4 linked regions of the Elephas maximus indicus genome follow. The protein of the gene in region 1 purifies or fractionates together with the protein of each later gene. This does not show direct contact. Links are inferred from orthologs where the notes say so. Each region holds a gene or a part of one and is shown on either strand. Other genes may lie near its edges. The genes, in order: STK25, CTTNBP2NL, CTTNBP2 and SLMAP.

Region 1 (7,763 bases):
CCTGCCGGCCCCTCCACTGGTCCCCCCCACTGGCATCGGGGCTTTCTCAGCACCTGGAAGTGAGAATATCATGCTCACTCAGGGCCCTCAGGGGCATCCCACCAAACCACCCACAGGTCTGCCCACGCCACGCAGCCCCCACCCCGCGAAGCCCCGGGGTGACTCAGCAAATCTGGCTGGTGCCCTGAGCTTGCACCCTCTGTCACTCGGAGGACATCGTCCACCTCCTTCTATCACGGCACGAAGATGCCCCGAGGAGGCTGGGTTGTCCCACTTAGCATCTTTAATCAGGCCATTTGTCAGACGTGGAGCGTCAAAGACAAATCCTGACTCTGCTGGCTTGACTCAGCGTTAGCTACACACCCCAGCTGGGCCACAATGGTCCAGGATCCCCTGCCCGGCAACTGTGCCCCACCCTGGCATCGCGGGTTTCAGGCAGGTCCCACAGAGTCCGGAGCTGAGCTGGGACTCCAGCTTCTGTGCCACGTGGACATTCTCCCAGTTTCTCCCGCCGGTCCCTGGCCCAGCACACATCGGGGGCTGCACTTTTAAGAAGCACAGCCGGAAAAACTTGCCCCGAGTCGAGAAGAACAAGACCAATCAGCGAGGATGAAGTCAACACGACAGCCACCACGGGCTCCCTCTGTTCCACTGTCATCCTTGCCCAAGCCCTCCAGTCCCCGCACGCTCCTCAGCACCAGCGGCTGGACGCAGGGCACTCAGTGGGGTGGGCCGTTGGATGGCCACTTCCCAGACAGCAATGCTAGACTCTCAAGGTGGCTCGAGGTGAGAGAAGAACAATCAAAAGAGAAAAACGCCGAGCCTGGTTAGCGGCTCTGCAGAGCGGCCTTCTCTTCACTACTCTCCCTCAAGGAACACATGTGTACACACATCCGCACACAAACACACATGCACGCAGGCGTGTCCTGTCTTCCCTATGCACCAATGCTTACACAAGGACCACCTGGTCAAGCCCCGCTCCTCTCAGGACCTATCAGGGTTCTCCCTACACAAACTGCTGTGTACTAGCCCTGCCTCCCGCCACGCCATAACATGGCCCGATGACCACAATGTGGCCCGATGACCACAATGTGGCCAGATAACCACAACGTGCCCCGATGACCACAACATGCCCCAATGACCACAACATGGCCAGATGACCACAATGTGCCCCAATGACCACAGCGTGGCCAGATGACCACAACATGGCCAGATGACTGCAGGTCAGGCCCAGGCTCCCTATGGATGCTGACCTCTGACTTCACTTGATGCTGAGGTCCAGTTTCCCAAAGGATCCCCACCCAGTGCCCAGCCCCGCCCAGCCCTGAGGGCGCACCCCGTCCCCAGATAAAGCGTCTCCTCCCACACTGCTCTCTAAACCGCAGAGAGCCACTGGCTCTATTTTAAGACACTCAGAGCTTATGTCACACAAAGGCGTGTACATGGAATAGTCTCCCCAGGTCTGAGCCACCCACAGACCCTGCCACAGGGTTCACCATGAACCTCTCCTCCACACCCAGACCCATGTCCCTCTGGCAAGCCCTCAGGGACACAAGCAAAATGTACCTGGGTCCTCACCCCTCCCAGACTCAGCAGTCAGTGCTCTCTGGGGGTGCACACTGTGCACACACACGCTCATATGTGCATTCATTGGGGTGCACACCCGCTCATGTACATACTCGTACTCATCGGGGGTGCACACCCCTGCATGCACACATATATCTGCATGTCTGGGGTGCACATCCACACATGCACACACTTACACACACGTCCATCTGGGATGCACAGCCATGCACACATGCTCAAACTCACTCGTATTGGGGCACACACCTGCAAATGCACTCATATGCACGCTCATCTGGGGTGCACACCCATGCATGCACACTCATACACTGGTCTGGGGGTGCACACACTCATGCACGCTTGTCTGGGGTGCATACTCAACACACACACACACAACCTTGTCTGGAGGCACACGCAGGCACACACCTACACATGCTTGTCTGGGGTGTACACCCATGCACACGTGCTCAGACTCTCATCTGGGGGCACACACCCGCACACACACACACACTCACATGTACACTTATCTAGGATGCACATCCCCACATGCACACTCACACACTCATCTGGGCACACACAGGCGTGCACACACACACATGCTCGTCTGGGGTGCACACCCACACTCACAAACTCACTTGCCTGGGGGCACACACCCACACATGCACATGCACTCATGCACTCTCGTCTGGGGTGCACACCCACTCACACGCACTCCCATCTGGGGCGCACACCCACACACATGCACTTTTGCCTGGGTACACACATGCTCACACACTTTCATCTGGGTACACATCCACGCACACACATACTCCTGTCTAGGGCGCACACGTGCGTACACACTCGCACACACTCTCGTCTGGGCTGCACACACGCATGCACTCTCGTCTGGGGCGCACACCTGCTCACGCGCACTCCCGTCTGGGGCGCACACCTGCTCACGCGCACTCCCGTCTGGGGCGCACACCTGCTCACGTGCACTCCCCTTCTGGGCTGCACAGACGCGCGCACGCACCACCCAGGCGGCCGCCCCATACCTGGTTGGCAAATCCCCTGAGGTGAGCCATGTCTGCCCGCGGCCGTCACACCATCCGTCCGCAGCCCAACGAGGCGCCGGGATCCGCCTCAGCTCCGGGCCGGCCGCCGCTTCAGTCCACTGCGGGGACAGCAAGCCGCTCGCGCTGTCCGGCCTCCGCCCCCGGCGACCTTCCTCCCGGCCGCCCCCAGCCCCGGGCCCCTGACCCCCAACCGCCCCGGCGCCGCCCCGCCCGGCAGCGGCCCACCTCCGGGGGGCTCCATCCCGGCCTCCCCCGGCCCGCTCCGTTGTGCCCGCGGAGGCCCCACCCGCAGCCCCTGATCTCCGGGAAGCCGCCCCGAGCCCGCGAAGCAGAGGCAGTGGCGGCGCCGGAGAAAGCCCGGCGGAGACAGCGGCAGTGGCGGCGGCGTCGTGGCCCGGCCCGAGGCTCTCTGGGAAACAGAGTCCCGCCACTCGGCCCGCGCCCCGTCGCCGTGCAAGCTAAACTACAAGTCCCGGCAGGCCGCGGGGTGGAAAGGCAGACGGGGAGAGCAGGCCCGCCGCACGGCTCGCTGGGGCTTGGAGTCCTTCGCCGTGAGCCGCAGTGGACTACAAGTCCCGGCAGGTCGCGGGGCGGGTGGGCGGTGTCGTGACGGCGGGGGCGTGGCCTGCGACGGGCATCAGCGCGTCTGGGCGTCGGCGCGTCGGTGCGTCGGCGCGTCGGGCGTCGCGTTTGGCCCGGAGCGCGCCCCCCGGCCTTGTAAGGCGCCCGGCCGCGCCCGTTCCGCTCCCCAGCCGGAGCTGGACCGGATCCCGGGGGCGGCCGCGGCGGCCTCGCCCTTCCCGCCCAGGCTCCCCACCTCCGCTGCCCGGCCGGCCGCACCCTGGACCCCGCGTCCGCACCCTGGACCCCCCCTCCCGCACCCTGGACCCCCCCCTCCCGCACCCTGGACCCCCCCTCCCGCACCCTGGACCCCCCCTCCCGCACCCTGGACCCCCCCTCCCGCACCCTGGACCCCCCTCCCGCACCCTGGACCCCCCCGCGTCCGCACCCTGGACCCCCCCGCGTCCGCACCCTGGACCCCCCCGCGTCCGCACCCTGGACCCCCCCGCGTCCGCACCCTGGACCCCCCCGCGTCCGCACCCTGGACCCCCCCGCGTCCGCACCCTGGACCCCCCCGCGTCCGCACCCTGGACCCCCCCGCGTCCGCACCCTGGACCCCCCCGCGTCCGCACCCTGGACCCCCCCGCGTCCGCACCCTGGACCCCCCCGCGTCCGCACCCTGGACCCCCCCGCGTCCGCACCCTGGACCCCGCGTCCGCACCCTGGACCCCCCTCCCGCACCCTGGACCCCGCGTCCGCACCCTGGACACCCCTCCCGCACCCTGGACACTCCTCCCGCACCCTGGACCCCACGTCCGCACCCTGGACCCCGCGTCCGCACCCTGGACCCCGCGTCCGCACCCTGGACCCCGCGTCCGCACCCTGGACCCCGCGTCCGCACCCTGGACCCCGCGTCCGCACCCTGGACCCCCCCTCCCGCACCCTGGACCCCCCCTCCCGCACCCTGGACCCCCCCTCCCGCACCCTGGACCCCCCCTCCCGCACCCTGGACCCCCCCTCCCGCACCCTGGACCCCCCCTCCCGCACCCTGGACCCCCCCTCCCGCACCCTGGACCCCCCCTCCCGCACCCTGGACCCCCCCTCCCGCACCCTGGACCCCCCCTCCCGCACCCTGGACCCCCCCTCCGCACCCTGGACACCCCTCCCGCACCCTGGACCCCACGTCCGCACCCTGGACCCCCCTCCCGCACCCTGGACCCCCTTCCCGCACCCTGGACCCCCCTCCCGCACCCTGGACCCCCCCCCGCACCCTGGACCCCCCTCCTGCATCCTGGACCCCGCGTCCGCACCCTGGACCCCCCCTCCTGCACCCTGGACCCCTCCCGCACCCTGGACCCCCCTCCTGTACCAGGACTGTCTCCCCTTCCCAACAGGACCCCACTTGTCTGCACCTGGACACTTTAAAACGGTGAATTTTATGATGTATGAATTAGATCTCGATAAAGCTGATAGCAAACAACCGTCTGACTTTTCCTTTAAAAAAGGTAAAACCGATCTCTGTGTCTGGCCAAGTGGAATAACAGAGGTCAGATTTCCCTCCTGCTGGAAACAACCGAAAGATATATGGATATAGATAGGTGATTGATTGATTGATAGATTGGTGATAGATAGGTAATTGATAAATGGCAAGATACATGAAACAATGCTTTTCAAGACAATGACACTAGATAACAAAGCTCAGTGGCTCCTCGTGACAAAACAAGAGGTGTGTTTACTGCTTGCAGAGAGTTACCAAACTGCAGTTGAAAGAGGGGGAACCCAAGGGGAGCCTGGGGTTGAGGATCAGAGTTGAGAGTCCAGGAGGTGGTGGTGGTTAGACTTAGCAGGACAGAGAGACAGGAGAGAACTCTACAGATGTGCAGGAAGCCCCTTGAGTATCCAGCAGTAGTGATCTGCGCCCGACTGTGAGGAAACAACCCCAAACTGGAAAAGAACCGTTTGAAGGTATTAGAGGTGCCCCATGCTCAAGTCAAAGGAGTAGTGTCTGTCCCCACCAGCCTGTGGTGCAGTGAATTACTTAATGTGGCCCTTCTAGCTATAGTCTAGAAACCCTGGTGGCGTAGGGGTTAAGAGGTATGGCTGCTAACCAAAAGGTCGGCAGTTCGAATCCACTAGGTGCACCTTGGAAACCCTTTGGGGCAGTTCTACTTTGTCCTATAGGGTTGCTGTGAGTCAGAATTGACTCAATGTTACTGGGGTTTTAGCCATAGTCTTTGTAACTCGCACCAAATGACTGGGTGAGGACTATGCAAATGAGGTGCTTGTGGCCCACCAAGGGGATTGGATAGCTTGCTAGTAATGTAAATAAGGTGTACTGCACCCTTGGGGGGGGGAGGGACCATGCAAATATGGTGTCTGGAGTCCTAATGAGGGGATTGGTCAGTTTTGCCATCCCCTAGGCTTAAAGAGGAGACAGGGGAGAGAGAGAGAGAGAGAAGCTATAGCACTGAAGACAGAGGCAGCAGAACCAGGACAGAGAGGGACAGCGCTAACACTGGAGATGGTGAGAGACGGTGAGAAGCGGCAGCAGAGAAACGGCGGCAGCAGAACCAGGAGGAAGCATGGGGAGCTTACTGGCCCACAGAGCGAGAAAACTGAGCACCTTCGGGCACAGGGCTTACCAGTGGGGCAGGGTACCTCTAGGCACTTATGGCAGAGCTAAAAAAGCTTTATAACAGTTGCCCCAGAGGCCGAGGGGCCAGAGAGAGGTGTGCCTGCAGCCTGGCAGAGGAGAGGCTGTCCTGATGGAAGAACTGTATCCTGAGTGAACCTGAATTGTAATGCGTTACTTCCCTAATAAACCCCATAACTGTGAGTATGGTCTGTGAGTTCTATATGGCCATTGCTACAACTGAACCCAGCAGGGAAGTAGGGAGTACCAAGTAGGGAGGACAGTTCGTGTCAGAATTAGTAAAAAGCCTGGCAAGAGGAGGTGCGTCTGACTTCTACCTCAAAGCAATCAGCCTTGGTTTGTTGATCTTGATTCTCCTTCCCCCTTGTGAAATTTAGAGGTGGTTAGATGCCTGCACTACACCATTTTTACAGACAGACTGGACAACCTCATAATTCACAGGGCAGTGGGTAGAATACTCAGGGAAATCTTGCCTCAGTGGCATTAGCATTGCCAGGGTTAGCAAATGATAACAGGATGCCGAGTTATTTGAATGCCAGACAAACAACAAAGAACACTTTAGTATAACTACGTCCCAGGTGTTAAAAGGGATATACCTGTACTAAAACATTACAAATTGTTATTATCTGAAATTTAAATTTGACTGGATGGTCTTTATTTTACCTAGAATCCTGTTAGGAGTAATTAGCCCTCAACTAAACACTGCTGTGGTCCTGCCTCACAAATCCTAGAGCAGGACCTGAAAGAATCTCACTGCTTCCAAGTACCTCAACTGCACCCACAGCAAAGCTCAGGAATGTTTATAAAGAAAAAAAAATAAGAATACAAAAATATCCAACACCTAGCAAGGCAAATGTCCAGGCATGCAAAGAAGCCGGGTCATGTGGTCCACATTGAGAACTAAAGTCAACCAATCAAAAACACCCCAGAGCTAACACAGGTGTTAGAATTAACAGTTGTTGTTAGGTACCATCAAGTCAGTTCCTGCCCATAGTGACCCCACGCACAACAGAACAAAACACTGCCCAGTCCTGTGCCATCGTCACAATCTCTGTTATGTTTGAGCCCATTGTTGCAGCCACTGTGTCAGTCCACCTCGCTGAGGGTCTTCCTCTCTCTCACTGACCCTCTACTTTACCAGACATGATGTCCTTCTCCAGGGACTGGTCCCTCCTAATAACATGTCCAAAATATGTGAGACAAAGTCTCCCCATTCTGGCTTCTAAGGAGCTTTCTGGCTGTACTTCTTCCAAGATGGATTTGTTCACTCATTAACAGACATGGATATTAAAAGTTACTATAACTTATACATTCAAAAGTTAAGTAGAGACATGAAAAAAAAAAAAAAGACCCAAATCTGATTTCTAGAGATGAAACTGCAATGCGTGTGAGATGAAGGGTACACAAGATGGTATTCACAGCACATGAGACACTGCAGAAGAAAAGATTAGTGAATGTGAACACACAGCAATGGAAATACACAAAACAAAGAAAAAAGAATTTTTTAAAATGGGAAGAGCATCAGTGAGCTGTGGATGCTGGAAAGCATGTTCACACAGTAGCAGGACAGAAACCGTGGGTGGTCACACACATCCAGGACATAAACCTCCTTTGTGAGAGGCAGCAGACTGGGCCTTCCAGCAGCCACCCCTGGTCTGAGACGAAGGTAGGCTCCAGGCTGCAGCCACATGCCACCCAACCCCTTCATTTAGCCCAGAGGGGGTAGGTGGCCTGCTCCAGGTCCCCACGCAGAGCAGATTCTGAGTCTCAGTTCCCAGACTCTCTCCCCTTCCCTACCCCGCACACGTCACCCCGTCACCCCCTGGGCTTTGGAGCAGGCAGGTACCAGTCCTGTGACTTTGAGCAAATCACTTAATCTAACTGAATTAAAATTCTTTGCTTTTAAATGGGAACAATAAATCCTGCCTCCC
Region 2 (7,202 bases), on another chromosome or scaffold:
TGAGACAGATTAGACATATACACAAAGTTTCTCTGCATACAATGCTTTTCTTCATCTAACATGACTAAACCAAACCCACTGCCTTGGAGTCAATAGAGTAGAACTACCCCGTAGGGTTTCCAGGGCTGTAAATCTTTATGGAAGCAGTCTGCCACATCTATCTCCTGTGGAGCATCTGGTGGGTTCAAACCACCCACCTTCTGGTTTGCAGTCGAGTGCTTTAACCGCTGTGCTGCGAGGGCTCCTCATGACCAAACCAAACCGAAAAAACCCGTTGCCGTTGAATCGATTCCAACTCATAGCGACCCTATAGGACACAGTAGAACTGCCCCATAGGGTTTCATGACCAAACAGGTGTCGAAAAATAAGAGATTACTTAAGTCTATCCAACTAAACCAAAAACCAAACTCATTGCCATTGAGTCGATTCCGACTCATAGTGACCCTATAGGTCAGAGTAGAACTGCCCCACAGGTTTTCTAAGGAGTAGCTGGTGGACTCAGTCTGCCAAACTTTTGGTCAGCAGCTGAGCTCTTAACCACTGTGCCACCAGGGTGTACCCAACGGGTCTTGATTATCGTGCCAAATAATCGAAGAGCATTGTTTACTTTTTCTTCTCTGCCCGTGAAGGCCCTGGCAATTACCACTACTTTGGATTCTCTAGTCTCTTAGTTTATTTTCTGTTCTCTGCTCATGTAACAAGATATATCTTTCTAGAGTTTCCTGTTCTGCTTTAGTTTTTTCTACTGCTATTGCTGTGTTAGCTGGGGAGACCCCACACATAGCTTCTCTTTTATGCTTTCTTATTGTAGATCTGGGAATAATCACTACACAGATCTGTGAGCACCAAGTGTGGCTCTGAAAACTTCGAAACTTAACTATTAAAAATAATTACCTTCAGGAAGTCTAATCAGGAAGGTAAAAGACAACAGCCACTACAATCACCCTCTATGATTTCAACTCTTTGCATGTTATTGAGATTAGCTTTGGCTCTAGATAACAGAGGAGGCCTGGTGGTGCAGTGGTTAAGAGCTTGGCTGTTTGGCTGCGAATCAAAAGGTCAGCATTTGGAATCTACCAGTTGCTCCTGCTCCTTGGAAACCCTGTGGGGCAGTTCTACTCTGTCCTGTGGGGTCGCTATGAATTGGAATCAACTCGATGGCAATGGGTTTGGTTTTTACAGGTAACAGTAGTGAGAGGGACTTCTGATTGAAAGCAAAAAAGAAAACTGCTTAATATATGGTTAATTTTAATATATGAAAGCACTATCCATCGGTAAGGAGCCCCGGTGGCACAGTGGTTAAATGCTCAGCTGCTAACAGAAAGGTCAGAGGTCTAAACCCACCAGCTGTTCAAGGGGAGAAAGATGTGGCAGTCTGCTCCCGTAGAGATTTCTGCCTAGGAAACCGTACGGGGCAGTTCTCCTCTGTCCTACAAGGTTGCTGTCAGTTGGAGTCCATTTGACGGCAATTGGTAACAGGCACCCATAGGTGATTACTGGGGATTCAGGGGCATTAACACTGGACCAAAAGCCATCAATACTTAGCCCCTGCTGAAATGAAGAACAGCTTAACAAAGTCTTTATGAACATACTACAGAGGCATGTGAATAACTGGAGCTTACCTCGCCTTTATTTACCCTCATCTCTGCGACTTAAAAATTGCTCTTATTTTTTGTCCCCTATAAATTTTTTTTTATATATATATATATTTTTTAATATTTTTGTTAGATGCTATGGGTCATGTAAAACCAGTCAACAATGTCATATATGTATCATTTTCCCTGGGGGAGGGGGGGAACCCACTATAAAAGATGGAGTAGTTGAGAGTAACCAAAGGCCACCTGACCAGATTACTTATAAACCTAAATGTCTGAACCTGAATTTTCTTCAAACACTTCCTGCCTTTTGTTTCAACAGAACCATACCTTCCAGGTGAAGTGCAGTCTCCCTGAGCAACAACCAGCCCACCATAGACTAGGAGATACTCATGCCTATGACCAAATATTTTCATTTGCTTATCTATACTGCTTCATCTTAAATCTTGTGCTATTCACTGGTTGCCAAACAATACACACTGCATTCCTACCCACACAAAGGCAATTCTGCAGATAGCCAACACACCCACCTCACTGTGAAATACAAGAGGATGGTTTTTCATCAAGTTCTCAGGGAAGAAATAGGGTGGAAGGCAAAAGTGAACAACTCAACGCTAGAAAACCTTTTGAAGCTGGGAATAGAAAATAGAGAGAAGGTACAAAGACTGAGATGGGGGGAGGGGGTTGTAATTTCTCCTTCCTCCAGAGCTTAAAAAAAGTCCATCTTGACTCCCGAAGCAGGGGAGCTCTCCACTCGCCACAGAACAGCAAATCCGACGGGCAGCTGGAAGAAGGCTGGGGATCCGAGAATGGAGGATGGGAAGAGCTGAAGGGGGGGGAGGGCCGCTTCGTACGTGGTGCTGGCTGTCCAGGTCGGGTCTTTGATTTTTGCTTTGCCCCATCCCTCTTTTCTAAAATGTACTGACTTTATCTTACAAACGATACTAGCTCTGGTCCCACCCTAGCGAGCAGGGACAGGTGTAGGGAGGGATGTCTGGCTGCCCGGGGTACAAAATGGGAGTGGGGGCGGCAGCGTAGGGAATGGGAACCGGCGAGCCCTCCTCCAAGGTTGAAGCGCTGAGCGAGAAGGGCTTTTAAATGAGAGGTAGCAGGAGGGAAGCCCTTTCTGAGGAGGGAGGAACTGACGGGGGACAATAAGGAACCGTGAGGACCCTCGAAGGATGAGCAGCCACCTCCTCAGGGAATACCGGGAGGTGGAGGAGACGGCCCCGCCCCCTCCGGGATGTACACGAGAGGCAGTGGGACAGTGCGGGAGGATACCGGGGTCCCACCCTTGCTTTTCTCTCGGAAACCCGGTTTCCCAGCAGTCACCAAGTCCCAGCATTAGGGGATCCTACCTTTTCCCGGCGCTCCGGGCTCCGCTCCCGGCCGCCTCCGCCACCCGCTCCCTATCCACAGCCCCCGAGGCCCCACCCCCTCAACCGCCAGGAAGGGACATTGGCATGCATTCTGGCCAATCACCACCTCGCCTCTTCAGCGCCGCCACCAATCCACACTGGCTGGAGGAGGAGCTTCTCCAATGTCATTTAGGCTCCTCCTGGAGCCCCAAGATCCCTTTTGTTTGGGGAGAACCGGGCTGGGATTGAGCTCACGTCAGTTCCGGTAGGAAGCACCCTCCTCCGGCCCGCACGAAGGTGGGTCTGGGTCCTGCCGCTTTCCAGCTTCTTTACCGTTGCTGGACAGGCCCCTGACAAGGGCTTCATGCTTCGCCCTAGTGGTAGGGGAAGCTGAGGAATGGCGGGCTTCTGGTGTCCGGAGTGTGATTTCATCCACATTGTTTAGAAAAGTAAGCTTTGGTATCTGCTTTAGAAATGGTTATTGAAAACTCAGTAACGTGGCTTCCCTGCTCCCGCTTTTTTCCTTGGACGCGCCTGAAGGTGTGCTGGAAGCAAGGGTACAAAGATGAAATATCAGGAGACCATCCTTCTCTCTTCACATTATATGTAGAAGAGGATGCTAGCTATGGAAATTCTGCAGTGGGTCATAGGATTGTACCAGAGGGGCCATAAACCCAGCCGACCTGCCTGCCTTCCAGGCCTTGTCTCTGTATACTATCCACCAGGTTGGGGGCAAGGGCGAAAGGGGAAGGAATGGGGGAGGCTGCCTTCAAGGCAGAAGTCTAATAATTGCAAATTTGTGTGTCAAGGTTTCCACACCACGCTTGCCAGATGAGAAGACAATTTCATGTTGGTCGCCCCATTATACTATGGGATGACGGTGTTTGCAGTGAAGTTGGAACAATGGACAGCCTAGAGTATACATGTCTGGCCCTCCATGTGGAAACAAGAGGAACACATCTTGCTGATGATAGCAAGCCTTAAAAAACCCAGGTGCCCTTGAGACGACTCTTACTCATGGTGACCTCTTGTAGAACTGTGCCCCATAGGGTTTTCAGTGGCTGATTTTTTGGAGGTAGATTACCAGGCCTTTCTTCTGAGATGCCTCTGGGTGGATGTGAACCTCCAACCTTGGTTAGCAACCGAGTATTAATTGCACCACCCAGGACTTCAGCAGCAAGCCCTAGGTAGGACCAGATAGCCCAGAGAGGGGAGAGAATGATGGTAGACCTAGCTGTATCCTTCCTGGAGGTCAAAGTTTCTAGAACACTTTTCCATAGACTGCACTCCAGCTCATAGATTGATTTAGCTGGTTAAAATAATAACCATCGCATTATTTTTCATATAACAATACAATTAGTAGTTGTCATTAAACAAGACAATATTAGGGCCTAGTCCTCACCTAAGCAGACACAGTTCTCAAGGCAGATGCAGCCATGTCCTCATGTAGTTTACAGTCTGGTGGAGGGATTTGATCCACCTGAGCAATCATAGTGAAGTTTGAAGAAAATAAGCCCGTATTTATCATGTTACCACTGTGCCAGGTACTTTCACATAATATTTAATCACTATGATAAATCTGGAAACCCTGGTGGCACAGTGGTTAAGAGTTCAGCTGCTAACCAAAAGGTCGGCATTTTGAATCTACCAGGTGCTCCTTGGAAACCCTATGGGGCAGTTCTACTCTGTCCTATAGGGTCACTATGAGTTGGAATTGACTCAATGGCAATTGGATTTGGGTATATGATAAATCTATTCTACCGTCTAAGAGAGACATCAAGTGTGTCCATTTTACAGATGAGAAAATAGAGATTTAGAAGAATCAAGCAAGGTCATAGAGCTAGTAAATGGTAAAGGACTTGCAACCAAGGACGTATGACTTCAGACCTATGCCATTTTCTGCTCACTACGCACTGGCTCTCACAAAACTGAACAGGCCAGAGAATGGGCATGGATGACTATAAAGTCAGCATCAGAGCCAGAAAAACAATTCCATGTCTACCCCTGTTGATCGTAGCTTTGAGAGCATCATCTCTATAGGCGAAGGACAGAAAAACTATGTACTAAGGTTCACAACAGGAGCCCAAGTGCTTTTCCAATAATAACAAAGAAGATACAGAATTTCAGAAAGACATTTTGGCTGGGTTTAGGAAACTGACAGTCTGAAAAACAAGATGAAGGGCCAGGCACATAGTAAATGCTCAGTAAATACTGACTGGACTTGAAACAAAATGTCTGAAGTGGTTACAAAACAAGAGCGTTAGGTGCTGGAATAGGCCCACAAATTTATAAAATCCCATTTCTTTCTCCTCCTCCTCCCCTTTGCTCTGCCTATGGGTGTGTAAGGAAGTGCCTCATTGCCTCACAACGAGGCAGATGTGGGAGAATAGGCTACTGGCTTCTGAGTCATTCTGAGTTGTCCTAGTGAGTCAGTCCCTTCCTCCCTCCCTTTGTAGCTGTTAACTCCCTACCACCCTTTCTACTCCCAGCCAGAGAGGGTGCCCTGTAGCCTACTTCCTTTATAGTAATCGGCAGCTCTCCCGACTCCCAGAGCTCCCTCTTGCGCATACCTGAGGGGCATGGGAGGGCCCAGCAGAATGAGATCATCAGCACCTGACAGGATTCAGAATCCTGAGGGTGTTCAGATTGTTTTCTTTTGAAATTCATCACCCCTGGAGGTAGTGAATAGGTGATGCTTCTGAACCTTACATGACCTTCAGTTGGCAGCACTGGGAGACGGTTGTGAGATTTTGTGATTCTTCAGTATATAAAACTTGCACAAAAAAATTTAGAGTCTGGTACAAAGGCACGTACAGTGGTAGAGACTCAGTTCATAATAATATCTTAAAATTTGTACAACAAAATATAACTTTTTCATATCTAATGTTTTATCAAGTTGTCAGCAAATGTTTATTAAATGACTGTGTGTCAGGCAACAACCTAGTAAAGAAGTGTGGAAAGATTATAGATTGTGTCTGTTTTTCTTCAAATAGGTAAACTTCCTAGGTAGGTGTTCCACAAATGTTTATTGCTGGTTTGGGGAGGCAATGATGTAAAAGAGGGCAAGACTGGAATTTATAGTAAATAAAAATCCTGAGTTCTAGTTCTCGGCAAAGTGGTCTCCCCACTTACCTCTATTTAACTTCATTGGTAAATAACACAAAAATAATGGACTAATTCCCAAAAATCATTCAGTGCTATGATTATATGGTAGTTATACATGCTATTTATCAAGCTTTTACTATATGCCAGGCCCTGTGTAAATTGCTTTACTTAATACACCTGATTTAACCCTTAAAAGAATCCTGTACCATAGACATTAATATTCCCATTTTATGGATGAGGAAATTGAGGCACAAAGAGGTCCATGATCTCAGATAATAAACGACTGATGCAGAATATTTACTCAGATATGAATCCAAGGTTTGTCTTCTTAGTTGCTATGGTCTGTCATCTCTCTGGAGACTCTGGGTGGCACAAATGGTTATGTTCTTGGCTATTAACTGAAAGGTTGGTGATTCGAACCCAGCCAGAGGTACCTTGGAAGAAAGGCCTGACGATCTGCTTCTGAAAGCTTGCAGCTATGAAAATGCTGTGGGGCAGTTCTACTGTGCAACACAGGGGGTCACTATGAGTGGAAACTGACTTGATGGCAACTGATTCTGGTGATCATCTCTCCATTATGCCTAGAGGGGTTAAGAAATGGAGAATGCAACAAATATTTTAAAAATTCATTGACATAATACTTGGAGTGGAGTAGCAATCTTCTTGGGATTATATGTATGATTTTGATTTTAAAACTTGAGAAGGCAAGAGAAGAGGGATAGTGAGTAGCAGTGAAGGCTTAGTAAGGAAGAGGAGAGTTTTGGGCACTTACCTGAACCTCAATGTCCTCATTTTAAAAATGGAATAATAGTCTCTGCCTATACCAGATGGCTGTGAATATCCAAGTGAGATTATACAAAATAATTTAGTAAACTCTATGGAGAGATTGGAAACCCTGGTGGCATAGTGGTTAAGTGCTACAGCTGCTTACCAAAATGTCTGCAGTTTGAATCCACCAGGTGCTCCTTGGAAACTCAATGGGGCAGTTGTACTCTGTCCTATAGGGTCGCTATGAATGGGAATGGACTCGTCGGCAATGGGTTATGGACAGATTGGAGCCGTGGTGGTGCAGAGGTTAAGAACTATGGCTGCTAACCAAAAGGTCAGTAGTTCAAATTAACCAGCCATTCCTTGGAAACCTGAT
Region 3 (7,344 bases), on another chromosome or scaffold:
TTTTTTTACTGCATTTACATTTAATACTGTCACCTGGAAAACAAAAATTTCAAAGTGCCAGCTGTTATTTTAACATCGCTGTTGCATATTTTTAACAAAAATCACTGTCCAAGTTTTTCCTTGTCACAATCACCGTGACAAAATTTATTCCTACTTTTTGCATATTAACTGCCCCAGAAAACCCAGAATGGCAAGAATGTTGGTTGGCTTCCCAAACACAGCTCTAAAAAGACCTCCATTTTCCTTTCACTCCAAAATTCCCTGATGACAATAAAAAGCAGGAAGATTTCTGTTTTCCATACTGCCTTATCCATTAGGGCTTATTTTCAGAGTAGAAATAGCAATATGGCCTATAAAAGTCATCACATTTGGCTAAGGCACTGAAAATAACCCAGGTCTCCCAGCATGGTTCATAGCAAAGACTATTTATATGAGCCTACTGAATAATGTAGCTTTACACTTGGGATGCCTTCAGGATTTAAACAGCTAAGAACGAGGACCACAAACTAAATTTAAAACATGTCACTAAAAATCATATTAAACTGAAAACTATGAAACTATAAATTAAACTTGTTTCTAAGCAACAATCTAAATAGTCAAAACTTAGTGAAAACACTCACTTTCAAAAATAGCCTACTGCTTTGGAGGTTCCATTGGCTCGTTATTGCCAAATGTATATATAAAAATGAATATACAAGCAGATTTGAAATGAATCAAATCGCTAAAATACCAAAAAAAAGAATTGTTCACTAAAAATACCCAAAAATTGTTTTAAGCCATCAGTTGCCAAAACCCCAAGATGCATAAAAATGCCTTTGATTTTTAATCATTAGGTAAGGAGCAGTTATAATAACAAATACCATGCCTCTACCCAGCTTTTCTTTAATGTAAAAATCAGCCTATAGGTCAAAGTGGCTGATAGGACAGGATCCTACCTTACGAAGTCAAAGCTTTTTGGAAAAAATAAAATGGTCAGTTTACAGCCTAAGAAGTCACTGTCAAAATTTTACTAAACAGCCAAAAGTTTAAAAAAGCTACTATATTAAGAATCCTTATTGCATCTTGGGACCCTAAAGGATTCTGTGGAAATAACAAGAGGTCGGCTTTCCTATTTTCCATGGCTGTTCCCATTATCACAGGTGAATGATCAAATCCCCGAAGTTCAGTAGTGAGAATCAGACTTCTGAAAATTTTACACAGCAGAGACGGAACCCTGACCTTGTTAACACGAAATCTGCCCCACGACCAAGACTCTCTACAGTCTAACCAAATAAAACTACATCATCAGCTACAGACCATAAACCAGATGTTTGTGTTTGGTTTAATTGTAAGGAGGTGATTAAAACACTGAGGGCAGTAGAAAAAAGGCCCATTCTAAACAAATTAAACATACAAATGTAACCTTCCTGGGGAACAAGAAACACACACAAGACCTCTTTCTTTCTCCTCCCAGTCAGTGCCTCTCGTCATCATCTCCTGGGGAGGAAGACACCCAATCATTTAAACTTCCCAGAGAGGCTTGCCTTAACAGCTAGCTTCCTTATTGTACCTCGCGGGGGGCGGGGGGATTCACAGTATCACAAGTGGGCAGGTTTCACTTGAAATCTTAAGTTCTCATTTTCCACGCAAGAAATGAAAAAACAAAATAAATTTTCCTAAAAGCTGCAAATCAAAACTTGCCAGTTTCACAAGTGCAAATCAACAGCCCTCCTCCTCCGTTTTTCTCCCCCCTCCACCCCCTCTTTCTCTATTCCTTCCCAAGCTCAGCTCCTCTCACCCCCAAGTACCTTCCTCCCCATCTCTCCCTCTCCAAAAGCCCTACCTCCAAACCCAGGGAGGAGGAGGAAGTTAAAGCAGCCCTGGCTGTTTACGCCTGGCCCTGCCCTCTGCTGCTCGCGCACCGACTCCGATCGGGTAGTGGCAAGGCCGGAGGGGGCGTCCACCCTCGGCTCACTCTATCCCACCGCGGTCTCCAGCGGGAGTGGGCCAAGGGTGGGAGGCGCTCCCGGGACCGCCTTTCTTTGCAGATCCTCGCAGCTCCAGCGAAGCCGCTTCTCAAACCCTGAGCACATTTTCCACCCTGGACGGGGAACCAACCCTCCCCCAGGTAGGGGCTGGAACCCACCAGCGAGTTTCTGTGCACAGGAATATTTAGGGATTGAAAGTGGGGACCAGGGATGGATGGTAGCGCATTTGGCGTCTAGAACCCAGCGAAGGAGAACAATGTCTATGATACTCGGTGATGACCCTCCACCTCGCCCGGGCATCGCCTCGGAAGAACGCGATGACCCCCCGCCTCCCCAGTGAGGGGGCTGCTAAGACCAAAGTCGCCGGCGCTTCGCGGCGACAGCGCCCACAGCTGGGCACCGGTCCCTCCCCAGGGGCCCCCCAAAGGCGCACAGACACACAATAGGCATCCCCACACCTGCTCGGCGGCGACCCGCACCCCCCCTCGCTGTTTCCTAGGTCTGCTGAGACGTGCCAGGCACCCCGAGACGCACGCTCACAGCCACGCGTGCAGCTAGAGGCGAACAATGGGGGGTCAAGTTCGCCAGCAAACACCCCCAGGCCAAACCCGACCACCGCGGCACCGGCGTCGGGGTCGCGAGGAGGGCGGGGCGCACGCATGGAGCGCCAAGAACCCGGAGGCCGGTGCTATTTCCCTGGAGACTCGGAACGGGCAGGAGGCGTCCCCAGCTTGGGCGGCCTCCGGCCGTGGGGCAGCTTGAGGAGGGGGCGCCCCCAGGGGGCCCGGACTGCGGAGCGCCCAGGGGACTTGGAGCTGCGCCTGGGCCCGCGTCTACACTCGCAGCGCGCCCGCACCGGGAACTCGGTTACCGCTGCCTCCGCCGTAGCCTCCGCCGTAGCCTCCGCCGCGTCCTCCGAGGCGCGGGAGAAGTCGGGTTCGCAGCTCGCGCCGTCCGTCGCCATCTTCCTGCGCTAGCGGATCCGAATGCGAGCTCGAAGCGGCGGCGCCCGGCTCAGCCCTCTCCGCGCGGGCGGCACTTAACCCGCTGCTGGCCGGCGGCGCGGCGTTCGGGCCCGGCCGCGCTCCGCCTCCCTCCCGCCGCCCCCGCCGCCTTAACCCGCTGCGCGCCGGGGCCCGCGCGCCCGGGCGCCCGCCCCCGGGGGGCCGCGCCGCCCGCCGCCTCGCCCAGCCCCTGGGCCATCCGGTGCGTCGAGGTCCGAGAAGAGGGCACAAGCCCGGGCCCGGGGCTGGTCCTTCCCGCAGATGGGGGAATCCGAAAGACACCGGGCGAGATGAAGGAGAGAAAGAGCTCAAGATGTGATACGACCGGCCAAGCCCCACGAAGCCGACCCTGGAGAGACCGGATGAAATGTCGGGCTTCCTAAATCTTAATTTTCTGTAAGATCAAGGAAACCCTTCGCTCCATGCCCATCTATCCCACCGCTAGGAAGGACATAAGATACTCTTTTCTTTTTTCTTAAATTCCAGGTTTTTTGGTTTTTCAACACTGCTGCCAGGGTGCTTTTACCCCTTCCTTCTACGAAAACCATTAACTAAATTCACAAATCAAAATGAATAATGTGTCCGCTTTTATTACATTGTGCCCCAGTCCCTCAGTTCTCATCTTTCTGTAAAATCTCCTTTTCAGGGAGGGTGGCGCGGGGCCCATTGCTGTTCTTTGACTCCATGACTGAAGTCTTTTCTAAAGGACTAACCAAGAAGTGTTAAATGTCATCTCTTTTAAAAGGAAGCTCTCTACTTTCAGAGAGAATACGCAAGTAAGAATACGCAAGTACACGTACTAAAAAAATCCTTTTAAAAATTGACTTCATGGGAATTATAGGTCTCAGGTTTTTCATGAGATGAGTGACTTAGGCTCAAACTCTATTTTCCCTTCCTTTCATCTGATTCAGTTCCTACCCTTTTCTGCCAGTTCCCAGGATGTGAAAATCTATCACCTTCTCAAGACCATATGGTACCAGCCCTTCTCAAATCACCAGATCCCTAAAACTGTCTTGAAAGCACAAAATCAAGTCGCAGCATTCAAACTGTGTCTCAAGGACGTAAAATGAAGCGAAAACCAAATCCTAAACTTGAAATTCAGGAAGACGAATGACATGGAATGTTCAATTCAAGGGCTACAGATAAAAGCTCATTTTTTTAAATGGCAGACTCCTAATGAAAGGTTTTGGCACTTTAATTGCTCCATTTTCAAAACTGGATCCAAATAAGACACAAATCAGGACAGAGAAAATCTTTCCTTTGAAGACCCTGAATGGGGTTGATTTAAATCATTAGATAAGCAACAATTATAATGACAAATACCATTCTTCTACCTAGCTTCCCTTTAATTTAAAAATCAGTCTATGGGTTAACTGTGGAAAGTTCTCTCCCAGAAGACAGCTACATCAAGAGAGAACTTTCACCTGGAATCCTGGGGTTAAGGGTCAGAGGCCTGGAAGTCACCTCTGAGTTATCCTGTAAGCAGAGGTGCTGGTTGATTTATTTTCTTTGACTTTACTCTCACAGCTACCCCCTTTCTTAGTTCTTTAGTGTCCATTCCCGTTCATTACACTGTTTTCTTTTATCAACTATTCTCTCTGAAATTACTCAATATTAGAATAATCAAGCTACTTACAAGATGAAAGCAAAGCATTTGACAATAAAAGTTGGACCCTGATCTCACAACATGGGTGAATCCGGAGGGCATTTATGCTGAGTGAAATAAGTCAATTACAAAAGGACAAATATTGTCTGAGACCATTACTCTAAAAAATCATAAGGTTTACACACAAAAAGAAACAATCTTTGATGGTTATGGGGGAGGGGAGGAGTGGGGGATGGAAAAACACCAAATAGACAATAGATAAGTAGTTAACTTTGGAGAAGGGTAAGACAGTACACAACACAGCTTGTATGAGGCAAGGTCATGGAAGCTCCATGGGCACATCCAAACTTCCTGAGGGACTGAATTGCTGGGCTGAGGGCTGTGGGGACCATGGTCTTGGGGAACATCTAGCTCAATTGGCATAACATAGTTTACAAAGGAAATGTTCTACGTTCTACTTTGGTGAGTAGCATCTGGAGTCTTAAAAGCATGCTCCTGTTGGAGCAAGGGAGAATGAAGAAAACCAAAGACACAAGGGAAAAGATTAGTCCGAAGAACTAATGGACGACAACTACCATAGCCTCCACCAGACTGAGTTTAGCACAAGCAGATGTTGCCCAGCTACCACCACCAACTGCTCTGACAGTGATCACAATAGTCTCTGATAGAACTGGAGAAAAACATAGAACTAAATTCTAACTCACACACACACAAAAAAGAACAGACTTACTGGTTTGACAGAGACTGGAGAAGCCCCTAAAGTATGGCCCCCTGAAACCCTTATAGCTCAGTTATGAAGTCACTCATGAGGCTCACCCTTCAGCCAAAGTTTAGATAGACAGGCACATAAAATGAGACTAAATGGGCACACCAACCCGGGAGCGAGGATGAGAAGGCAGGAGGAGACAGGAGACTTGATAATGGGGAACCCAAAGTTGAGAAGGGGAGAGTGTTGACATGTCACGGGGTTGGCAACCAATGTCACAAAACAATATGTGTATTAATTGTTTAATGAGAATCTGCTCTGTAAACCTTCATCTAAAGTACAATTCAAAAATTCTAAAAATACTCAAAAAAGGACAAAAGAATTGCTTTAAATAGACATCAAAATACATTATAAAGCTACAATAATTAAAACTAATATTTGCTTCAGATGAACTAAATAAATGGTCAAGAAATGAAACCAAGAATATTTGTAAATTGAAGATACGATAAATCTGGTGTTGAAAATCATTGCATATGATAAAAAGGAGAGGCAGCTGGCTTTACCCTTCACCTTTCCCATTCTTCCTGCCTAAAATGTGGATGTGATGCCTAAATGCGCAGTAACCAACTTGCAACCAGAGGCAACAGACATGGAGATTAAAAAAAGGCAATGTTAAAGATGGTGGAGCCAAACAGATATAGCCTGTGGCATCATGGAACAGCTAAAGGGACTCCAGAAGTCGCTTAGTTCTAGAATTCTTGTTATGTAAGAAAAATAAACCTATAAGTTAAAAAAAAAAAAAAGCTAGATGTTGATAGTAAAATTTAAAGTTGGAACAAAAGTATTCCTTGTTCTTTTCAAAATGCATTTTCACACATCACAAGGCAATAAATTTCCTTAATATTGGCATTAAATTAAGAAATTAACTGGCTCACCACTGGGGAATAAAATAACAAATTTCACTTAGGTTTAAGCACTAGGAATATGACATGATAATTTCTCTGTGAAGCAAATCCCGTTTATTTTATACATGCAGATCAATTTAAAAAAAAAAAAAATGTTGTGAATAAATAGCTTCTGCAGTGACCCAGTAGTTAAGAGCTTAGCTGCTAACCAAAAGATCTGCAGTTTGAATCCACCAGCTGCTCCTTGGAAACGCTTTGGGGCAGTTCTACTCTGTCCTATAGGGTCGCTATGAGTCTAACAACAGGTTTGGTTTTTTGTTTATTAGTCAAAATAAGGAGCTCTGGTGGTGCAATGGTTAAGTGCTTGGTGGCTAACAAAAAGGTCTTTGGTTCCAACCCACTAGCCAGCCGTTCTGCGCTCTGCAGGTGGAAAGCCCTGGCCATCTTCTACCTTAAAGATTACAGCCTAGAAAACTCTGTGGGGCAAATCCACTCGATGGCACCTAACAATGTAAGTCTAAATACAATCAAAATACAATCAAGTCATAATCAAGTAGATCCCTGAGTGAATTCTTTCCCCTCTCCCCCACCCCACCGCCTTTTGTGTGTGTGTGTGTGAAATGAAAAATAAACAGGTGAAAAAAAATCACAGAATAGCATATTTTCCTACTGCCAAAATCCAGGACCTGGGAAGGAGAATAAACAGTATTTGTTTCTACCTTAAAGCTGCCACTGTTGCCGGGTGTTGACTGAGCAGCTGGCCTCATTGCTCAGAAGCAGCGCATAAGGAGTTAACTCCCTCACAGAATAGCCCAACCTTGAAGCTGCTTCTCCCCTGGGACACTCCAAGTTTAAATTCCCTCCTGAGAATTAATCTCTGTTGAGATTGCAAATTAACTCTTTGTGAAAGACATTCTTTGCACAAAGACAGGCTCTATTAGAGTCGAACCAAACAGATCTGCAAGGGTACTGATTTGATGGCTCCAGGAATTAAATCTTTTGAAGCTTCGTTAAACAGCTAAATAAACAGAAAAAAAAAAAAAATCCCAGGGCTAGAGTGAAAATTTCTGAAAGGCAGGGTAAAAGAAGAGAGATGGAAATACAATCAGGAGGAAAAGAATTCCCTACAGGATCGCTATGAGTCGAAATTGACTGG
Region 4 (6,830 bases), on another chromosome or scaffold:
AGATTTTCATCTGCTTCTTTACATTTCACAAATTTTCTACAATGAACATATATCACTTGGATAATCAGGAAGTTTCAAGGGTTTATTACTTTTTCCAGCTTCTAATGAGTCTCCCATGATGACCAATATGGAATTCAACAGTCACCCACAAATGAAAGTCAACAAAAAAGCGTATTACTCTAATTTTCCACTTCCCAACCTTCTACTTTCCATTGTCCAAAAGTGGCAATTTGGACAAAGTTCTCAACTTCATTTGTTTGTAATTTAAAAATTATTTCTACATATGCCATCACCCACACACACAGATAATTTCTCATTACCTTCCTAAGATTGAAGAGCACCATAGCAAACTGCAAAGAGCTGCCTAAATGATTTCCCCTCCCTCCAAGTATTGGGCTTAAGGGCCAGGTATAGGGTGCTAAGAAATTGATTACCTTAAACTCAAAACAACAGTATGCTTATCACCAGACAGGAAAACTAATGCTTAAAAAAAAAAAAAATTAATGCTTAGAGACTTTAAAAAAAAAAAAAAGTTGTCTGCAGTGATGCTTATAGAAGGAGATATTTTCCTGCTATATAAACGCATTTGCTGGGAATACATATTAGACCCAGAGACTTCTGTTAACATAATCTTTTGTTATGAGACAACTGTAGCAGAAATCCTCAAACTGGGTATTTCACACAGAGAAAATAATAAGTGATATTTGGTCAAACTGTCTTCTTTAGAACTGTGTACCTCACAGCATCTGGCACGTACTAGATGGTTGACAAAAACCTACTCTCTGATGAAACCTAAATTTTAAATAGTTAATTCCTAAAAGAATTTGATCACATGGCAAGAATTGACTGCTCATTTTTCATTAGACTGGGTGGTACAATAACCAATAATAATATGTACACCTAGAGTAGCAGCCTTGGATCCTGAGTATAGTTTAGCTAATAAAGAAAAGTGAAAATAATAGAAATAAACCAAGTGTATCCTTTAAAGATAAGTTCTTCTAAAAACAAATTTTGTTCAAAATTTTAACATGCCATCTCAATTCACACGCTAAGCATTCACTATTCATATATTCCTAATCATCTCAAACTAAGCTATTGTGAGGGCTTTAGTACACTGTTCAGGTAATCACTATTTCTCAAATCGGTAAAAGAAAAAAATTTGAGTCTCCTTTGGGTGCTGGATGAAAGTAAAGAAAAAAAGAAATTACCTTTGCAGAGAATGCACTGTGAGGAAACCTGTTATCTGATTAGGCTGGACCCAAATGGTTGCCCAGGGACACAAAAGACAAGTAAAAGCTAGTTAAGGCACTAGTAGTTAACTGATCTTTGAATTACATTGCTGGAAAAATGAATTCTGTGAATAGTCATTTTAAAGGATTATGGGTAATCTACAAAGTCTCTAAGGCACCCAAATTTTAGCTTTCAGGGAGATAAAAAGGGTCCCTTACACAGGTAAATGAGCATCTGGTGTTACACAGAAAAATTAACATACTTTTCAGTTCTTACCCTACACACAGAGTAGGGTTCAGGTATTACGCAAGCACATAGCACTTTGACAATCTTTCTCTTTTTTTTTTAATTATTTATATAATAACTCCACAATTCAATAACTGCAAAAGTGTGTTTTGTCTCTCCCTTTGAGGCTCGGGGTTTTGTTTTGTTTTTCATTTCAAAACACTACTCTTGGAAAGATTTAAATTCTTCTTTTAAGAAAAACTTAATCATTTAACTCAAGAAAGGAGGAAAAATCAGGAGATGAAACCCGAGATAGTTCTATTAATCTTATGTAAATTTAAGTTGGAACTGAGTCAGTAGCTCATCTAAAACATCAAATTTAAGTACAAGATTGAGCTCTTTAATATGCTCTCTACACGCAGAGTTTTAAAAACTGAAAGGGTCTTACATAATCTTTTCTTTGTATTCTTAAAAACACCCAAATGTATAATAAATTAAGGAGTTAACATCGAATGGTCACACTTAAAATGAAGAGCAATTAATTTTTTATCACAACTAAATAATGCAATAACTGATAGAACTGTATGTAATTTCAAAAAATAAAACAGTTAATTTCCTGACACTGAATTTTAAATTTTACCTCTGAGTGTATGCATGAAGTATTCTTAAGGAAAGGGGTTCCAGGGAACACCAAAAGCGATCTGCGAAAGCAATGTGCATATAGGATCGCCCAACTTGTAAACAAAACTCTGAAAATGTAAAGTTACAGGTCTTTATACTTAATTAAATTAGCTTTGATTACTGTGAATTACTCTGTCAGGGGCAAATACATATCTAGTCTTTCCAAACAGTAAGTCTGTTTACACAGGCAATTGCCCTTGCTAGAAAGGCCCTGACTAGAACTCAGCTGAAAGCCATGTGTTCAGTACAGGTCACCACTGAGACACCTGAGCTCCCGAGAAATACTGGCCACAGATTCCCGCATTGCTCTGGGAACTGCTGCTTGCTTAATCAAGCACTGAACTGCAAATTCACCTTTCTAAAAAGCCCGAAAGCGAGATGCCAAGTTTCACTATCTAGTTTTCCGAAACGAATTAGGGTTTGGGATTTCACTGGGAATGACCATGTTATCAAGATGCCATTGGTCTCCCGAGGCATTTATTTACAATACCTACTCTGTTTTCCATTCAACCACCTCCATTAAATTTCCACTAGAATCAGGCACACCAAAAAGTTGATTCCGTGGTCTTGCTGCAAGTCCTCTGGGTGCAAACCCTGGGAATCCTACACACAGAATGCCTCTCACAGAGAGCAAAGGGGAGCAAGAAGTGAAGACTGTTAGCCAACGTGGTGACATTACCTTGCCCGTCTTGTGGTCAAACCAGACGAGTGCGTGGTTCCTTGACAGCACTTTGCAGTCAAAGGTGGCGTTATTCTGCGCTGGTCGACAGCGGGCCACCGAGCGGCCGATTTTGATGGGCTCGTCCAGGTAGACATGACGCTCCTGAAACGGGTGCGAGTTTGGACGGCAAGTGAAGATGGCCAAGGCTGACGGCATCGAGGACAGACTGGGTGTCTCTCCTACCAGGGACAAAGAGGAGCTCCTCCGGATCCGGACTGCCCTTCACAAGCCTCTAGCCCTATCCCCCAGAAAATTTTTAAATTAAAGCAAACTGTGCATTGTCTAAGCATAACCAGGGCACATCAACAACTCTTCACTTGGGTGGAGAGATAAGCCAGCGCAAGCGCCATCACCTCCTTTAAAACCCAACCTGGCCACAAAAAGTCCCCAACTGGCAGCTTTCAATCCATCTTCTTCCCTGGGAAGAAACGGCTCAAACATCGGACAGCTTCGGCCAAGAAAACTCCTGGAAGACAGTTTGGGGACTGGAGGTATCCAAGCAGATGAGTCACACACCAATTCTTGTGTTTTGTTTGGGATCGCGGCCGCTTTTCCCCCTCGGAGGCGGAAACGTTGCAGCACTGCAGCATGAAGGAAGTGTCGGCTCGGTGCGGCCAGGAAGGTCCCTTCGCGCCGAAGAAAGGTGTCGCCGAGCACCTCTGGGCAGCCACTGCCCGTTCTCGGGGACCTCGCGGGTGGAGCAGTGAGGGGCGACGAGAGGGTCTAGGCGGCCAGGGGGACGGTCCGCATTGCCCTGCTCCGCGGAGGCCGCCCCGGGAGGGGGCGTGGGGTCCCCGGCCTGGCACCAGCCGAGGGGGCGGCGGAGGGGGACCTGGGCGCGGGAACCGGCGGGGGCGCGGGCAGTGGCCGGGCCGGGGTTCCCGGGCACCTGGCGGGCGTCCCCGCGACCAGGGCGGGGATCCGGCTCCGCAGGCGGTGCGGACCGAGCGAGGCGCGACCCCGCGACCCCGGGAGACGAGGGGGTCCCGGCCGGCGGGAAGTTGGTCCCCGGACGTCGGGACTCCTGGTCGCTGCTCAGCACACGGGCCGCCTGCCCTCAGGGTCGCCCCCGCGAGGGTCGCATCGCAGGGACGACAGGCGCAGCTCCCAGCGGACGAGGAGGTGGGGGAGGGAGGCTGGCCCTGGGGTTGGGGGAGAGGCCTGGAGGCCCCAGGCTGGGTCCGCCGCAACCTCCAGCACTCGCGGCCCGCGGGGCACGCTCAGGCTGTGCCCGACGAGGCAGGAAACTTTCCGACCTGGTGGAGGAAATACCAAAACAAACGGCCGTCAGGCGCCGGTGCCCGCCTGCCTCAGCCCTCGCCCCCCTCAGCCCGCCTCACGCCAGTCTCCGCGGCTGGCCACAACCCCGGCCGGCCTTTCCATGGACGGGCCACGGAGGTTCGGAGCCTGGACGCCACGACAGGTCCTGCCTCTCCCTTTCCCGCTGCCGCCGCCGCCGCCGCCTCAGCTTACCTTGCCAGCGCCGGCCGCCATAGTGACTCTGACTGAAACCTACCCGGTGCACCACCGCGGGAGCGCGCACCCTTCAAAGGCCCTCCTACCCCCTCTCCCGCGCCGTAGTCCGGGGACGTCACGTGGACACCGCCGTGGTAGCCATGTTGGTCGAGGGCAAAGAAGAGGGCAAGCTGTTTTTTACGCGCCTCTGGACGCCATCTTAGTTAAGGGCTGCAAGCTTCAAACCGTGGTACAACCTGGACGACCATTTTGGTTAAGGGCAAAGAGGAATTTGAGGGGGTGAAGATTTTTTAAACAAAACGTGCCAACGTTTTCTTTTACCTTCTAAGTACGAAGGAACGAACTTTTACTAAATTTTACTTACTATAGGTCTGTTGAAAATACCAAGGATGGAAGAGAACAGACTTATCCAAAGGAGATGTTCATTAGCAGCCATTTTAGCTATGGGCGATACGGTCCTCTCCTCCCCCACCAGTCGCCCTATGTGTGAGCAGCCAAACTCCCACAAGCGTCAGAATTTGTGCACCTAACATCAGAGGGGCTGTCCTTCTTCTCCTGAATTCTTAGCAGCGTTCCTCGCCTTCGGAAAAACTTCTAGTCCCTGCACTCAGTTCGAATGCTCGTTTTTTTGTTTTGTTCTAGCACTGGGCCTATTATGTCCCCTTGTACTCCGTTGCATTCTACCCCCAAAGAGTAAGACTTCAGAAAGTTTAAAATCACCTTGCTTCCTGAGAAAGGTCGAACGATTTCTAATATGAAAAGAAAGGATATTGCTCTGCTCACAATATTAAGGTAAACGAGGAGCCATTGGTCTAAAGAGGGAATTACGGCAAAATCTAAAGTAAAATTTTAAGAAAAGATGCAGGGAAGGAGTCTTAGGTCTTTTAGAATCAATGGCGGCTTCATTCTTCAGATGCCCGTGATACACGCTCCACCACCGCATGATCCTGGGCAAGTTTCTAAAGCCTCCGAGCCTCATTTTCTTATCTGTAACGTGAAAACAATAATACTTAACTGTTCCAAGAATTCTAGGTGATAAAATATATTGCTTAATAAAGAGTAACTATTATTTTTTCCAATTCTTGTAGACAGAGTTTTGGTCTTGTCCTAGATTCTGTGCTGGACCTTGCGTACACACAGGTGCAACCCCGCCCTTGGAGATTACACGCGGTATTGTGGGACAGGAGTAGGGCCAGTGATGATAAACAGGTACAGATAAAATTCACTTTGATGTAATCAGGGCTAAAATAGAGGCAAGCACTGGATGCGACAGGGATTAGGGAAGGGCTTCTGGAGGAGGTAACTGAACTGAATATAGAAACATAGGAAAACCGCAATAAATACGGTATTTGTTGGATGCGTTCATAACATGTCCAGGAAAATAGAACAGCAAGAAAAGGAACAAGCCTGTTTGAAACAGTGCACCAGTGCGCCTGGCGTACAGTAGTGACTCAATTAATATTTGCACAAATGAAAATAACATACTGTTACTCATTATTAGAGGATAAAGGAGGAGTGCCACAGAGCAATTCTGGAGAGAAAAATAGACATTAGGTTACAAAGACCTTATATACTTCTCTAAGAATCTTCATCAATTAAACAAATGTGTATTGAACTACTAGTGTATTCTGGGACTTTATTTTGTAGATAGTAAGGATACATTGTAAAGCTTTAACTTAGGAGGATGAAAAGTTTTCATTTCTTACAACTTTTAGGCTTATATGGAATAAAATAAGATAGACCTCTCTACAAATCCCTAATGAGTTCTGTGCATGAATATATAAATCAGTTATGCATTCTTTCATTCATTCATTCTATAAATTCTATAAATGCCTACTGGGAGACAGATAGGGTGGCTATGAGTTGGAATCGACTCAATGGCAACAGGCTTGGGGGACAGATACTTTGAAAGCCCCTGGAAATCAGCATAACTTAGATGATGGCACAATAACGTCCTTGCTATAATGGAAAGCATGAGGAGTAATGAGAGCATGGAGCAATAGTTGTTTAAACGGAGACTTGAAAAACAAGTAGGAGTAGTCCAGGTAGTCTGGTAGTAGTGGGATAAAGAAATTTTAGGCAAGAAAACATCAAAAAAGTCCCAGAGACTTGAGAGAACAGAATCTAAAGGCAATTACAAGTACTGTATTACTGAAGCCTAAGGGGCAAGGTAAGGTCAGGGAGGGGTAGGGACAGGCAGAAGTGTGGTTTCAGTTGCTGAAAGACTTACAAGCAATGCAGCAGACTTCAGAATGTTTCCATCTTCTTTCAAGAAGGCCAGAGTCGAGTAATCCAAGTCAAACTTTCAGAATCAGACATGGCATCACCATTCACCACCATTGTTATCTATGGTAATTAAGTCTCAGTTTCCTCATCTGAAAAAAAGCACAAAATACCTCCCAGAATCTTGTTAGGATTAAATAAGATAATGCAAGAAAAAATATCCAGCATGGTGCCTGTAAAAAAGTAGATACTCACTGAATGTTAGTTTAATTAA

Evidence for each region.
Region 2: the proteins of STK25 (region 1) and CTTNBP2NL purify together in Homo sapiens (affinity purification with mass spectrometry; 6 studies listed by BioGRID and IntAct, counting the BioPlex papers as one, with this or other methods). This does not show direct contact. The link is inferred for Elephas maximus indicus from reciprocal best matches to the Homo sapiens genes STK25 and CTTNBP2NL.
Region 3: the proteins of STK25 (region 1) and CTTNBP2 purify together in Homo sapiens (affinity purification with mass spectrometry; 3 studies listed by BioGRID and IntAct, with this or other methods). This does not show direct contact. The link is inferred for Elephas maximus indicus from reciprocal best matches to the Homo sapiens genes STK25 and CTTNBP2.
Region 4: the proteins of STK25 (region 1) and SLMAP purify together in Homo sapiens (affinity purification with mass spectrometry; 5 studies listed by BioGRID and IntAct, with this or other methods). This does not show direct contact. The link is inferred for Elephas maximus indicus from reciprocal best matches to the Homo sapiens genes STK25 and SLMAP.

What each region holds. Positions count from the first base shown.
Region 1 is NC_064824.1:143,370,602-143,378,364, forward strand, and holds the start of STK25 (serine/threonine-protein kinase 25), read right to left. Parts: upstream 3,016-7,763; 5' UTR 2,905-3,015; exon of another isoform or gene 2,844-2,904; intron 2,717-2,843; 5' UTR 2,628-2,716; coding exon 2,598-2,627; intron 1-2,597. UniProt on the Homo sapiens protein: Oxidant stress-activated serine/threonine kinase that may play a role in the response to environmental stress.
Region 2 is NC_064821.1:168,369,968-168,377,169, forward strand, and holds the start of CTTNBP2NL (CTTNBP2 N-terminal-like protein), read right to left. Parts: upstream 3,021-7,202; 5' UTR 2,954-3,020; intron 1-2,953. UniProt on the Homo sapiens protein: Regulates lamellipodial actin dynamics in a CTTN-dependent manner. Associates with core striatin-interacting phosphatase and kinase (STRIPAK) complex to form CTTNBP2NL-STRIPAK complexes.
Region 3 is NC_064826.1:31,757,503-31,764,846, reverse strand, and holds the start of CTTNBP2 (cortactin-binding protein 2), read right to left. Parts: upstream 3,020-7,344; 5' UTR 2,932-3,019; coding exon 2,824-2,931; intron 1-2,823. UniProt on the Homo sapiens protein: Regulates the dendritic spine distribution of CTTN/cortactin in hippocampal neurons, and thus controls dendritic spinogenesis and dendritic spine maintenance.
Region 4 is NC_064838.1:62,342,949-62,349,778, reverse strand, and holds the start of SLMAP (sarcolemmal membrane-associated protein), read right to left. Parts: upstream 3,014-6,830; coding exon 2,816-3,013; intron 1-2,815. UniProt on the Homo sapiens protein: Associates with the striatin-interacting phosphatase and kinase (STRIPAK) core complex, forming the extended (SIKE1:SLMAP)STRIPAK complex.